2 linked regions of the Struthio camelus genome follow. The protein of the gene in region 2 interacts with the protein of the main gene of each other region in a pairwise test. Links are inferred from orthologs where the notes say so. Each region holds a gene or a part of one and is shown on either strand. Other genes may lie near its edges.

The links.
Region 1: the proteins of EEIG1 (region 2) and SKAP1 interact in binary tests that used the Homo sapiens proteins (3 or more experiments, as listed by UniProt). The two-hybrid records come from large-scale screens. The link is inferred for Struthio camelus from reciprocal best matches to the Homo sapiens genes EEIG1 and SKAP1.

Annotation. Positions count from the first base shown.
Region 1 is NC_090966.1:5,546,884-5,554,487, reverse strand, and holds the start of SKAP1 (src kinase-associated phosphoprotein 1), read right to left. Parts: upstream 3,112-7,604; 5' UTR 3,019-3,111; coding exon 2,985-3,018; intron 1-2,984. UniProt on the Homo sapiens protein: Positively regulates T-cell receptor signaling by enhancing the MAP kinase pathway. Required for optimal conjugation between T-cells and antigen-presenting cells by promoting the clustering of integrin ITGAL on the surface of T-cells.
Region 2 is NC_090961.1:7,770,548-7,778,024, forward strand, and holds the start of EEIG1 (early estrogen-induced gene 1 protein), read right to left. Parts: upstream 3,264-7,477; 5' UTR 3,082-3,263; intron 3,071-3,081; exon of another isoform or gene 2,944-3,070; intron 2,515-2,943; exon of another isoform or gene 2,496-2,514; intron 1,854-2,495; exon of another isoform or gene 1,762-1,853; intron 1,252-1,761; 5' UTR 757-1,251; coding exon 611-756; intron 1-610. UniProt on the Homo sapiens protein: Key component of TNFSF11/RANKL- and TNF-induced osteoclastogenesis pathways, thereby mediates bone resorption in pathological bone loss conditions.

The sequences.
Region 1 (7,604 bases), on a different chromosome or scaffold from region 2:
TTAACTCTGACTTCTTTAGTATTTTACACTCTGGAGAGACTAGCCAAGCTATTCCAGGGTTGACTATAGCTTACCCACTTTTACAAAACAGAGCATTTTGTTGTTTTTAAAACAGCATTAAGGCTGCTTGTCTTGAAATTAGCAACTGCCAGCTTTGTTGTGCTTCACAGGTGCAACCAGTCTTCCAGTGCAGCACCTGCTCTGACCTCTCCACTGCCCAAGCTCCAGCAAGAAAACAACTTTCCAGACCCACCAGCTGGCTTGAAGGGGATCAGGCAGAGCAGGCTAAGGCAAAGCAATCACATTGCCAGACTGCTTTTGCTTCTGCAAAAGGATAACAGAAACCCTATTTTTATCAGGGTTTTTGTTTTTTGAGAAACATTGTTTCAGCCTTCAGAAGAAATCTGCGCTAAACACACACAAAACACCCTTAGCCAAAGTACTTTTAAAAGGAACCTGTTTGAACCAAAAGTGAAACCCTGTGCAATTAATTTACTACATAGCTTTAATGAGAAACTGGTTCACCTATTTGCAACATGAAGCTTAAAGTAATACAACGTGGCTTAGTCACATCTAAGACACATCAGCTACCTATTCATAAGCATTGCAGGATTGCTATATAGAGGCAATATGCAGAGTGCATTGGTTTTCAACTGCTGCAGCCTCAGAGATGTCACTAGTGATGACACAACTGTTACTAGGAAGCCCTTCACTTGCTGTTCCTGTGCCTCTTGTGTACAGTCCTGTAGTATGGGCCAAACTTTAATATGTGGAAACAAATGTTATTGCCTGTACATCAGTACAGGCTTACTCCCATTTGTGATTATTCTAAGTAAAAGAATTCCTATGATAATGTAGTTGGCAACCACAGAAATAGCTTAAGCCCCTTCATTTCTAGTCACCATAGCTAGAAAACTCCTTAGCCTCTGGAAGGCCTCAAGACTGTACAAATTGTTAAGACACAGCAAGTTTGATACAGAGATGTGACACACAATTAATCTCCATTCATAGCCTGCTATACTTGTCAGCAAACAAAGGCTGTGCTTTAGAAGGAGATCTGAAACCTTCAATTAAAAACAGTCAGTTAACAAGAAAATAATCTAAGTTAAAGGAAGGTGGCAGGTGCAAAAATGAGTTGTTTACAAAAGTGTCAGCACTGAAACAATAAAGTGCTGCACATCAAAAATGTGAAAGGGTGAACTTCACTGAAGCCCCCACGATTAAAAAACACAGGAGAAAATTTACACCTACATCTGGGGGAAGACACAAAGCATTTGGAAGTGAGCTTTGATGGGCTTGGAGGCTGCACTCTCTCTCAAACTGAGAGATTCCAGGACTGGAAGTTATCCCAAGGCTCAGCGTGAAAGGGGCTACTGCTCCAAGCTGTCAGAAGCCATCTCGACAGGAAATGAGAGGTCACCAAACCTCAAGGCTGGCTGGGCCAGGCTCAAACACAACCACTCCGAGTGGCAAGCAGCAACCTGCCAACAACTCTTTCCCCACCACCCACACCTGAGGTAGCAGGATGTGTCAGCAGCATGGGCTGCTCAGCAAAGGGCTAACACCACTGTGCTAGCCTGCAACACTGCTATCACATTTTATTTATGGTGAGGTTAGAGAGAATTAGCAGAGGAGGAAGTCATCACATGAACAGACTTGAGCGTGGAGAGGAAAACAGTACTGTAGAGTAAAACTACCAACTCTGCAAGCAACTTCCCTTTTTGTTTGTGTGAATTCTTCCCGCAAGGACACACCAAGTGATCATTCAGTCACAGCAGAAAGGGAACTCAGAGCTCCAACAGCTTTTAACTTGACTGTTTAAGAAACTAAATAAAACACAAGCCAGACTCCTAAAACAAAAACAGCCTTGAAGTCCCAGGTTCGTAGCATCCCCTGAAGGGCCGACAGTGAGAGTCAGGGATAACGTGCACTAGGCTGAACTCACAGGAGTAACTTATACCCTCTCTGGGACTAATACAGTCACCTGCACGTGGCAATTCTCTCACCAAGCCTTTGCCTGCTGTACCATACCATGGTGATGGGGACAGCAATAGCCACAAAGTCCTTGAAAGTGTGCTTCACAACATGAACTAATTCCATACAGAGGAGTCTGGCATTGTTTCTGCTTGGCTGACCCACCATCTTAACAAGAAGTGCAAGAATTCAAGTTTGCTAAGAAACCCAGGAAAATCAATTTCAAAAGCCTCACATATGCCATCTTAGACATACAGAAGTAAATGCTGTCAACTGTAAGTGTAGTTCAGTCACTGAGATGCTGAGACCTCAGCAGATCACATTATCAAGCAGAAGCTGGGCTCAAAACCAGCTCTACACCCCCATTTCACTGGCATTGAAGCTTCCCTGAGGATTTATCCCCATAGGGCCAGCTTGCTCACTGCATCCTCTAGCGTGGCACAACACATTTAACACAACATCTAAGGCCAAGAGACACCTCTGTCAGAGCCACAACAAAGTTTGCTTAGAGGGTTCACTATAGCACACAAGCTTCTTCCACCCTTTGTACCAGCTCCCCTGTCCCACTGCAAGGGCACTGACCAGTGGAGTCACTCAATGCCTTACCTGAGAGCCCCCAGTAGAGACAGCTTCTGACCATACCCCTGCCCCCCCCCCAAGGTCTCTCACACACTTTTCTCCCCTGACACACAGGCTTCGGGATCACCAGAGAGCTTCCCCATCCCAAATCACAGAACGTCACCACAGACCCACCTTACCCACCAGGGGCAACACAAGGACACTCTCAAGAGTGCCAGAACAGGCAGCTCTGCTCCCTACAGTTAGGGGTGCAGAAGACATACATAACCTGAGCACCCAGACACCACAGCTTCAGCCTCCATAGTTCCCCCCCTCCTACTCCCCTCTCTGGCTCAGCACAGCCACATCCAAATAGTCCTTGAGCCTCTTCCCCTGCAACTGTAGCTTTTCCCAGTTAGGCAGAGGGGGAGCAAGAAGGAAGCTGTGGTTACCTTCAAGGAGTCTCTGAATCTCCTCTGGGATCATGCTACTGCCACCTTCTCTCCACAGGAGTCAAACCTGCCGCTCCTGCTCACGTCCCTGTCCCCAGGCAGGGCTGAGTGCAGGAGGAAGCGGGGAGGCGGGGATGCCCCGGGGAAGGTAGGAGGAACCGGGGCTCGGCTGCCTCCTCCGGCAGCGGCCCCAGCCCCCTTGCCGCGGCCTTGCAGGGAGGAACAAGGTGCCAAAGTGCCCAGGACGCACCAGGACCAACACCTCGGTATTCCCCCCGGGCCACTGGGCTCTAGCCAACAACCTGCAGATGTGCCTGATACCAGCCCCCAGAGCAACACAGCTGAAACAATGCTCCCTGCATTAGCATTTAAATCAGGTGGCACTTAGGCATGTTTCTCCTTCATTATCACATAATTCTGTACACCTGCTGGTAGAGGAGACCCATGAGCTCGGTGAGTATGTGTGGCCATATATTTAACTTCCAGTGCCTGTTCCTAGCACAAGATGAGCTGGGGGTTGGATCTGGTCCAGGCAAAGGCATGCTCCTTCCTCTAATGTGCAGGGGAAGAGAGCGGTACTTGGCTCATCTGCAATAAAACTTCCCCTCTTCCTGCATCCTGCTTAGGAAGGGAGCTAGATTGTAATGACCATTCATATTTCTACATCTTGCCCGGCAGAAGAGCAAGGTTGCACACTTTAACTTGCTTTATGATAGGCAATAAATGCAAACCGCACTCTACAAAACAAAAATGGCATTGCATTAGATTAACCCACAGTCTTACATCTGCTTCCCTCCTATATAAATGAATTAGCACAGGCTGACCAGGCTATGAGGATATCACAATTGTTTTCAGTCCTTGCATTCCCAAATTTTAGGCTCAATCCTGACAAATTCAAAGACAGTCTTCCTTATCTGAAGCTCACCAATGATTCCAAGGGCTAACCTGAGATTCCCCAAGGATTAAGTGTACATGATCCAGTCCTTACTTTGCACAGTGTCCCACTATCCTTCAGTAGTATCAAAAAAGTATTTATGATTATAGTACATGGATAATGTTTTTCTGCCACTTTTACTTTTCTGACATTCTATGCATGACATATGATTTTTTAATTATATTTTCCTAACCTAGCAAATGTTGGAGATGACAAAAAAAGAAAGCAATCAGGCTGTGTTGACCACGGGCACAAAACCACACAGCTTCACTAAAATTCATGCTTGCTGTTTTCGCCAGGGGCAAAATACAAGCTCCTGATAGTGCAGAAGCAGGGCTGAAACTGGGATCTCACTGTATACCAAGGTGTATCATAGTGTCATGAGGTAGGGACACTCCGAACTGTCAGAGAAGGAAACTCCTTAAAACCGCTTCTCTTGATGCTTTCCTGACCTGCTGCTCTGGGCAAACCAGCCTGCCACAGTAGTTATCACAGGCTGGAAAAGCAAAATCTCTGGGGGAAGAGAAAAAAAAGAGTGCATTGGGCTCCCAGCCCCCAAAGACCGGGATACACAAACACTTCACTATGGTCTCACTGGCTTCAGTGGGACAATGCCATGTTTTGAGGCTGAGTGTATTTCTAAATAATTGCAGAATCAGATTCTTACAGCTCTCCAGGTGCATCACCTGGAAGGAATAAGGCTTAGCTATTGGGCAGCCATCAATGTAGGAAACCTGGAACAGGATCCAGCTTTGCTCCAAGCTTCTTGCTTGGTTCAGTCAAGACAATGTGTGCTTGAGGTCTACCCTGGAGATGTGATGTAAAAGCTTCACTGGGAAATGCACAGGTATGGGAGCTATGGAAGTTTATCAGATAGATGCTCCACCGTATGCTATAAGCTGGTAACATGATTTGTGACCTACTTTCTGAGACACATGGTTGCAAAAAAGGAAAAAGACTGTATTGTGCTTTTAGTTGATCAGTACAAATCAGATAAAGAACAGGTGTAAGATGAAGTGCAGTGCTTTGTTTTTTGGTTTGGGGCATGTGTGCCTGCAGTTCTAGTGTGTTGGCTCCACTGGAGACAGCAGAGTGAAAGGGGAAAACCCCAAAAGCAGCTGCAAAGTACTTTTATTACTTTTAAATTGAAACATGCACTTTTATGCATGGGAGCAGCACCATGGTAAATCACACTTGTCAAGAAGGGATGGTTTTAAAGGAGAAGTGAAGGTACCATGACCATAAGTGTGTTTAGTGTACACAATGGGAAAAGTGGTGTTGCACACTGCTTTCTGCACAGTGAGTCTCTCAGAGTAGTAAAGCTGAAGTGGCAGCTCCCATTTGGGGTTTAGTCACAAAGAGGAGAAGACATTTTGCTTTAGCTCACACTCAGGGAGACTTCATTGCTCTCTAGATCTGTGGAGAGCAGCCTACCACCACTTCCGATTTGTCACTTGGCTGCTTTCTGTACATGCATGTAATTTCACAATAACCTGGAGATAGACTTCAGGTCTGACATTACCGCCCTAGACCTTACAAGTTTCCTATTTTGAGTGTAAAGTTCACTCAGTGTCTGTCCTTCGCCCTTTGTCTTGTATCCTGCTGGGCAGGCTTACGCTCCCTGACAACAGAGCTGCAGCATATTCTTGATTTGAGGACTCCATGTACAAGAAATTGCTTCTCAGTGGCACTGGATGCAAGGGCCTTAGAGCACAGAAAATGTTGCTGCAGTTCAGAAGGCCTCACATGGAAGGTGGGCTTGCTTGAAAGCTATTGTCTTTCCCATTATGTGTAAGGTCAGGACTGAGAAAATTGACAGTCTCCTAGGGGGACAAAATTTGAATCTCTGTTAGCTGCATAAGGCCCCCAACACATTTGAGTGGTTCTGATTGTATGCAAGAAACGGTAGCATGTGTTCTCACCTGGAGGTGTTTAGGTGTAAATATTTAAATGTTTCTGTGTAAAATTCCTAGTCCGTTCATTACAGCCCGAAAATAAAAAGCAGCTGCTTTCTGAGACTAACTTTAAAAATGAGTTTATAAGGAAACGAACTAGGTCCCTTAAACTGAAGAAACTGCCTTCAGATATGCCAGAAAGATCAATGAAGCCTGATCAATGCAAATCTCAAAGGAAAAAATGTTCATGCAACTGCAAAGAAAAGGATCATCTCACATCTCTCTGCTTTTCTGTAGCAACTGCTTATGTAACGGTTTGAAAAAACAGTGCAAATAGTGAACTAGAAGATAGCTGGTCACTAAGTCTTGTTCAAGAACTAAACAATTTATCATATTTAAGGTCTAGAATAAATTTTTCCTCATGTCAAACTGCAGGGACTTGTTTTGTGGATCTTTTGGTTTGCCTTCCTTTGCAGCTTTGGGTGTAATCACTGCTTAAGAGCATACGAGGACTTCACCCAGCAAATTTCCTGCTCTTGCAGTACTTATGCCATTAGTACAGCTCTAGATCTTTTCTGCTGTACTTCTGGGATACATTGCAGTTGTGATTTTTGGTCTTTTGCTACAGCTCTTAAGGCCATCATGAGGTACTGAAAGTACAGGACCGTGTGGAGGCTGGTGCTGTTGCACCATAGGTGCTTTAGACATCTATCCCATGGCCCTGGGAGCTGGGAACAGGACTCAGCACCTAGAATATTTCCCTCAGGCCCTACATGAAGATTTTGTTAAGATAAGGCTGACTGTGTAGAAGGTATTGTTTTTATTAAATCCATTTTACTGAGAAACATTGAGGCACAGAGCCTCAGCTGCCACGGAGATGTAGATGCTATTACCTGAAACCCCAGCACAATGCAGTAGCCCAGCCAAGCCCTGGCAGATAGAGCCAGGCAGACTGATTCCCAGGCTAATGACCTGTTTTTCCCTGCTTTTTTTCTTGCCACTTTCATTTTTGAATGTGTGAATAGGTTACAAATTTAGTTTAGTGGTCATCTGGGAAGGAGATGGGGGAGGCTGGCAGGGACTGACAAGTTCCACTGTGTCATTGTTATATAGCATCAAGTTTTACGGGCTATGGATGTAAAGCTGCCTCCCTACATGATAAAAGCCCCACCTTAATCATTTTAGGTCCTAAGTTCAGCAGACAGGCTCTCTCCTAATGCTATTCTGTTAAATGGACAAATTCCTTTGAAGGCTTGTCTTGTTTTGAAATCCAATTTCACAGGAAGCCAGATGCGATTGGGTGTAGCTATGGAAACAAAGCAGGGCAGCCTTAGAAGAGCTGAGCGATGCAAGGTAAAATGTGAGAGTCAGAGTCCTTTACTGCTCTGTCGGAAATATCAAAGGATCTGGAGAGGTTGGCAGGAGATGTGTCCCTGTTACGGACTGTTCTGTGTGGCTGGGTACCAGCGCCTGTCAGCAGAGGTAAGCAGCCAGCTGTGCTGTCACACAGGCTGAATAGGTGCTGAATGCACAAAACCAGGGGGTGCAGGCTCTCGAGTTCTCGTCTGCTCCCTCCCAGCTCCTCCAGCGCATCAGCATCGCAGCCTTCCCCTCTGCCATTGGGAAAGGTTAACAACAAAAGGGTAACAAGGTTAAACCACAAAGCCCCAGCTGATAACAGCCCTTTCAAGCAGCTGCACTGAAATTAATCTGAAACTTCTAGTAATTAGATAAGATAAGGATGTGTGCATGCTCACGCGGGCACACGCTGACCCTGGGACACCCATTCCA
Region 2 (7,477 bases):
AACTCAATGACATTTGTTCCAGAAGATAAACTGTGTCTTTAACACCGACAACTTTGACCCCAGGCAGCAGTTTTCCCTTGCACAGCAATTTGCAATGCAAAGCAAGCTACTTCCACTCTTACCAAGAACAGTAGTTCAGAAGCAAGAGGGGAGTGCAAAGTTGGGAAGTGTCCATTCGTATAGTTCAGATGAAACTCAGCTCTGTAGGAAGGTTTAAGTTAGGCATGAAAACAGTACAGCACAAGGTCTAAAATAGCTTGTGAAAATTTGGGTAAGGGAGGGAGGGAAAGAGAGAGAGAGAGAGAGAGAGAGAGAGAGAGAGAGAGAACGTTTTCATCAACAAACTCCAATCTCCTTCGGGGGTGCGACCTCCCACCCTCCAAGCCTCCGAAAAGTTCAATCTAGCTCTGGTCAGACAACAATAACCAGGCTCAGAGCTCTCCAGCTACATTCTTCCTCCCCTCTGGAGGACGGTGTGGCATGTGGGGCCCTAAAACAGAACTATTAAAAACACATCAAGGGGCAGGCGAGTGGTAGCCATATGCCGAACCATTCAAGTAGAGAAAAACCGGGAAAAGAAGAAGAGCCAGGAAGCAAGTTAGCTTCTTACCTGCTAGATAAGCTAGCAAAGTCTCCTCCGTCCAGCAGCCTGATTTTGCAGAACAGAACCCCATTCACAAAGGGGACAGCCGTCAGCTCTTCTAGAGTGAAGCTTGTCTGAAATTTGAATTTCTTTTTCTTCATCAGGAAAGCCATGGGCAGATTCAGCGTGGAAAGCCCAGGAATTCCAAACAAGATTAGGGAGGAGCAGCTCAAAACACACACGGACAAACAGGGGAACGGCCGGCAGTCGTTCCAGGAGCGTAAGCAGGGAGTAAATTCCAGTTCAGTTACAATGACGGCCCAGCTTCAAATGCACAATCCTCTTCTCTTTGGTGGTCGGGTCTGGCTGTGGGATCATTGCCACGGCAGGCTTCAGGTGGGGAGGAAGAAGACAGGTTATATCTCTGCAACATCTCCAAGGGAAAAAGAAGGGAGAAAAGTAAGTCTCAGCTCCAGACCAGCAGGAGCTGTCCCAATTAGAGGCTGCAGCGCTCTGTCTTCATCAGAATTCCTCCAGAAAGCATGTCTCACAGGAAGTCATCTTGGGTCTCTGAAGAAGCCTCGGGTCTGTGTGCAGCTCATTCAGAAAGCTGCCAGCTTCTCCCTCCTCTTCTTGTGCAATCACTTCATACAGGTCTTCGGGTCAGCCTTTGGGAGGGAAATGAGTAAATTAGTCCCAGCCACTCTTAGGCTCCTCCTACTCTAAAACCTGTTTGGATGGATAACATTGAGTCCAGACTCATAGCAGCCTTAAGAAATACGGCCTCAATTAGCCTGGCCCCAACACCCTCTTCCCCCTTCTGGTCTAGAGGAAGCCTCACTGTTGTCCCTACCCTGGTCGTCTCTGTTTTGCAAAGTGGTTATTAAAAATCTATTCTTTTACAATTATTTTCATTCATCATCTTCAGAAGCAATTTACTGAGCAAGAGTAGTTTAACATATAGTCTAATAACAGCAAGTAAAGCAACCTCAAGAAATGCAAAATCTTTTTCTTTTCTGTTTTTCTAACCAGCCCTAAGTGTTAGCACCTGTATCTTACAGATGGAGATACCAGCACGGAGAGGAAAGAAGGGAAAAAAAAAAAAAAAGCAGCCTGCTCCAGACTGCCCAGCATAACAACCAAACCAGGTCATCGGGCTGTCCAATAGCCAGGCCCACCGAGTTACGCTGCCTCCCCCTTGCATCCGATCTACACCAAGCAGTTCTCTTCAGTTCAGTTTTTGGGCCAGCGCCTGTCATTTCACTGTACGTTTACAAAGCACCTAAGCCTGCGAGGCCAAACGCAGCCAAAAGCTGATTAGCATCTAAAGAGGACGAGGTTATAAACACTGAGCAGTAAACAGCCCCTGCATATACTAAGAATTAAGAGACTGTGAATTAACCCGAGCAAAGCTCCTGCTCCCTGCTGCGTTTTTTTAATTTGCTGTTAAAGCCAAGAGAGCGGACCGGGGCTCGCAGGGGTCTGCCCGCGGGGCGGCACAGGGGCGGACTGCTCGCCGCTTCACAGCGCCAGCCCCTCCAGGAGCCATGCCTGCCCCGCGTGCCCACGCACCGAGCTGCAGCTAGGTCTCGGCTGTCTCGCAGTCCCCTGGAGCGCGCACTAAGATGCGGACAGGTCTCAACCCACCTCCGGGCCCCCGGGAGTAGGCATCAGGCTGTGGCGAGGTCACAGCCTGTCTCCTGGCACCCCTAGGGCACGCATTAGTCTGCAGCCAGGTCTCAGCCCAACTTCTGGGCCGTGTACTGAACCTGGTGAGGTCTCAGCCCACCTCCCAGCCTCATAAACCATGCACTGAACTGCAACCAGATCTCAGCCCACCTCTAGGCCTCATGGAAAATACACCAAGCTGCAGCCAGGTCTCAGCCCACCTCCCAGCCCGTGCACCATGCACCGAGCTGCAGCCAGGTCTCAGCCCACCTCCCGGTCCACGCACCGAGCTGCGGCCAGGTCTCAGCCCACCTCCCAGCCCGTGCACCATGCACCGAGCTGCAGCCAGGTCTCAGCCCACCTCCCGGTCCACGCACCGAGCTGCGGCCAGGTCTCAGCCCACCTCCCAGCCCGTGCACCATGCACCGAGCTGCAGCCAGGTCTCAGCCCACCTCCCAGCCCGTGCACCATGCACCGAGCTGCAGCCAGGTCTCAGCCCACCTCCCGGTCCACGCACCGAGCTGCGGCCAGGTCTCAGCCCACCTCCCAGCCCGTGCACCATGCACCGAGCTGCAGCCAGGTCTCAGCCCACCTCCCGGTCCACGCACCGAGCTGCGGCCAGGTCTCAGCCCACCTCCCAGTCCACGCAATGAGCTGCGGCCAGGTCTCAGCCCACCTCCCAGTCCACGCACCGAGCTGTGGCCAGGTCTCAGCCCACCTCCTGGTCTCCGAGTCCTGAGATGAGCTGCGGCCAAGTCTCAGCCCCCTTCCCGGCACCCTCCCTGACCCGCGGCCCGGCCGGGCCCTGCCCGCCCCCGGCCCGCTCGCACCTCCTGCCCTTGCCTCACACGGCCGCCGCGGCCACCGCTGCTCCCCGCCACGGCCGCCTCTGCCAGCGCTACGCCAAGTGCGGCCGCTACGCCAACACCGCAGGCAGCCACAAGGCAGAGCAAAGCCACCACCGCGCTTCGGGAATACCGACCCGACACTACGTAACCCCCCTCCACCGCCTTCCTCCCCAGGGAGGAGGGGACGGGAGCACGAGAGCGGCGCCACCCGATTGGACAGCAGCAAGGAGGCGGGCCGGGGGAGCGGGGCTTTGATTGGTTGCTCTGGCACGGGGCGGGGAAGGGCGCGCAGGGATGGGAGGAAGAGGCTGTCGGTTTGGGGAAGGCCCGCCCCCTCGCTCGGCCGTGGGCGGGAAGCGGGGGGCGCAGCAGCGGCGGCCCGGGGGTCGCCTCAGCGGGGCAGGGGGCTACGGCGCAGCCGGCGGGACCGCGGCCCGTGGCCGCTTCCCCGGCCGGGTGGCTGCCCGGGCTGTGGGGCTCCGGGGGCTCGCTGCGGGGATGGCAGGCCTCGGCCCTCGGGGGCGCGGGGCCGCGCTGAGGGGAGCCGAGGCCTCCCGCCGCCGCTGACGGAGGAGGCAGCCCTGAGGGACGCGGGTTCCGCGCCCCCCTGCAGCGCTGCCCCTGGCCAGCCAGAGCGTCTCGCGAGGACCTCTTGCCTCCTCCGCGCCCCAGCGCTTTCCCCAGCCACACGTTTTCCCATGGTTTTGCCCCAAACCATGCAGGCTCCTTTACCAGCACGGCAGCCTCGCCGGCAGCCTCCGGCCTGGTTATGCCGGAGCGGGAGAGGGGCTGTGGCCCTGCACAGCAAACTCCTGCCGGGCAGCGCCGGGAGCTGGAGGAGTTTCACCTTCTGTGGGTGAGATGTGGCAACCAGTTAAATACATCTCTCCATCAAAATGGCTCCCTCCTGTTACTAGGTACTGCCGCCTCGTGCTGCGCTTGCGGCTGGCGTCCCTGGTCAGGCAGGATTCCATTGTTTCAGGGCGAGCAGCACCAAACGTCTCTCCTTCCAAAGGCGCTTACCACTCGTCAACGTGATTTGCCTATTTTGAAGTTAGGGATGTGCCTAGGAGTCTTCCTGAAGCAAAGCTGTTACAGAGAAGAAGTTGAAGCTCGTAGTGGAGGGACTTTTCCCAAGGTTGAGTTGCATGTCTGGCAAAGCTTGGATGAAAGCCTGGGAGTATGGCTCTATTTGCTGAGCTTTGATGCCCAGATCCTATGCCTTTAATCTTTGCCATCAATGCAGACAATATCAGAGCTTTCAAGTAATTCTACCACAATGTGAACCTTTCAGGAAAATTGTAGGAAAACCACTCAGAAGTTGACTTGGCTAAAAGTTAAAAGTTGGATTAGACCAAACGCTTTGTTAGGACAATTCTTGCTCGCTAGAATAAACAGATACGCAGACTGAGGGCTGGGAATACATTTCTTCCATATTGGCACAATGAAACCGCTGTGGGATATGTCGGTTTTCCCATACAGCAGAGTTTGGAGAGGCTGTTTTCAAAGGCAGGGCTTGAAGCCATTCTGTCGGTTGATATCTAGTGTTTACAAGGTCACAAGACATTGGTGTACCTAGGCTGTTTTTTGCTTTCTGTTTCTTGGTTTATTGGGGAAGAACTCAGTCTGCTAAATACTTAATATTTGTCAAACTGGGAAGGTTGACTATTGGAAGCATGTAAAGAATCCAGCCCGGTCCCTTATGCTTCTCATTCTGCACCCTGAGCACTGTGACAGACACGTCGATCTTTTGCTTCCATCACTAGATAAAGGACACACGATCGTCTGTTTGTGATGTGGGAGGAGGCCTTGTTGTTATCTGGTATGATTCACTCTGATAAATAACCTCCTTGGAGGACTTTTCTCGTCGTTTATAGCAACAGGCCTGAATGCTAAAGTTTACAGAGATTTTAATCCCTGCTGTTCTCACGCATATGTACTGTGCAGTTTTATCAGAAACATCTCTTGAAAACCTCAGTGTTTTTATAATTAATTGAATAATGTGACTGATGTTAAAAATAAACGGATTTGGAAAAATGCCCAGTGAGTGCTGAACAGTGTGTAATATAGCAACTGTAGCTGGATTCTCAGGGGTATGTATATTTTCCTAACAAAGGCAGTCTCATGACTTTGAGATTAAATCTTTATTAGTTCGAAATTCACCCTGTTGATTTTTCTGTGTTTATACCGCATAATAGTTTCTGGACAAATTCACATTTTTAAAGGGACAGTACTTTGCCAAATGCCTCTGATGTGCCCTACTGGGAGAGAGGTTGCAGTGAGTCAGTGAGTTAGTCTGAGCTCCGCAGAGGTACCACAGAGGGAACATGGGGAGTAGACTGGATGCTGATAGCGCCTGGGAGTCTCGTAAGTCTTGCAAATATCGCAATGCAGGAATAACATGCCTCGGTTTCTTTCAGATTGGAGAGCGGTGTAGCTCTGTCCATCCACCGCTCTGCTGGCTTTGTATTATTGTCCGATCCAGTCCCAACCATTCACTAAAGGGCCATGCGTGTGAGCAGGGCATTCTGATACGTGTTAATTCTGCCTACCCCCGGCGCAGATCTTCCCATGCCAGCGACTGCTCTTCTACCACCTTGGCTCCCCTGCGCTCACTTCCTCACCTCTGCTCCATGAACCTCAGCCATGGCCTTGCCCACGCGCTCCTTGACCTAAGCCTTTCCTGCCAGTACTTCCTCAACTTTTGCTGGCACAGGGCATTATCTTATCAGCCCTGGCTAATTTATCAACTTGGGCTCTGCTTCAGACTGGGCCTCACTTCTGCTATCACGAAAGAACTGCGTCTCACCAGCGAGGGGCTGGGATCTGTGCTCTCTGCTCCCCTTGGCACCCGAGGAGTGATCGGGGACAGAGATGGCTTTTCTAGCCTCCGGCGCTCCTCCTCTACCCCCGACTTGGAGCACCAAGGTACATAAACAAGGAAGAAATGAGGCAAGATCAATTCAAAAGACACAAAACTCAGTGGAGCGGAGTGAATTGAGATAGATTCTGTAAAGCATTTGGTGAGCCATCTAATTCTATCTCTAAGCCCAGAGGAATCCCAGATACACGAGCAAATCATCAAGCCCTATAAACTACATTATCAGTTTCTTCCCCGGGAAAATATCATCAGACAAATACATTTGTCCTAGCAGCCAAATGATGAAAGTTTGAAAACTAAATTATGCACAATTGCTGCAACCATGTAAGCACAATAATGGATGTCTTCTATTACATATGTAATAACCTCTGTTACAATAGCCTTAATGAGCTTTCAGTCTTGTCATCAAAAAAAAGAAAAAAGAAAAAAGAAAAAAGAAAAAGATTATCACAAATGCTTTATGCTATAAATATATTCTTCGCGCTGCCGGTGGCCAAACACCTGCAGTGCACCTGCTCTATGAAACTGTGCTGGGAGCTGTGGTCAGGCGCCCGCAGCGGGTACCTTTCCAAGAGCTCCGGGGGAGCCCCAGGCCAGGGGAGTCCCCAAAGCGGGGCAGGGTGCAGCTGGTGGCTGTGGCGTGCGCTGCACGGATGGGTCCCCGAGGCAGGGCACCGCGGTGATGTGAGCCCCATCTATGGCGCGCAGGCTGTTGGAAACTGGGCGAAGGGAGACGTGTACCCATCTCCATTAGACAGGATTCTCCTATGATATGGAGTTACTCTAAGCTTATATCGTCTCAGCTTACTTTAATAATAGGCTGCAAGCTCCACTTTGATCTGTTTCTATTTTTTATAGTTCCATCTTTAACTGAACTTGCCGTAATACAGGCCAGGGACTGTTTCACTTTCTCTGCCAGGCTGGGTTTCCCATTGGGCATGCAAAGAAAACACCTGCATGGTGCGTTTCTGGCTTGCGGGGACTGGGAATCCTGTTATCTGCGGAGCAAAGGGAGCACAAGAATCTGGAGTCAGTGGATTCCTTTCTCTAAGCATGCAGCTAGACCTGAAAATCCTGCTGTCTGGCTTTTTTTTGTTTACTGGTTTCCACGTCTTCCCAATGTTTCTTGGGAAAGTGGAGCAGGGCTCTCCCTTTGTTTCTAGGAGGCCTATCAGCAGCATGGGTGGGAGCTGGTTTGCCCCTTCCAAAATCTTCAGACTTGAACCTGCTTTGCCTTGAGGCTTGTCATGTTTAAGCATTGTCCTGTATCTATAGCCCAGGTGTCACCTTCAGCGCTCTCCAGGGCCGAGACGCATTGGCAGTGCCAGCACAGCGCTCTCCAATGGGATCCATTTTTCTGGCTGCAGCCCCCACAGATGCTGCTGTCACCCCTAATTTGGGATCCCAGGCAGTGCAGCCAGCAGAAACTGTCCTTACCGGGCCTGAGTGTCTGCGATGAAGCACCTAGGGATAATCACCTTGCAGCATCGGGACCCT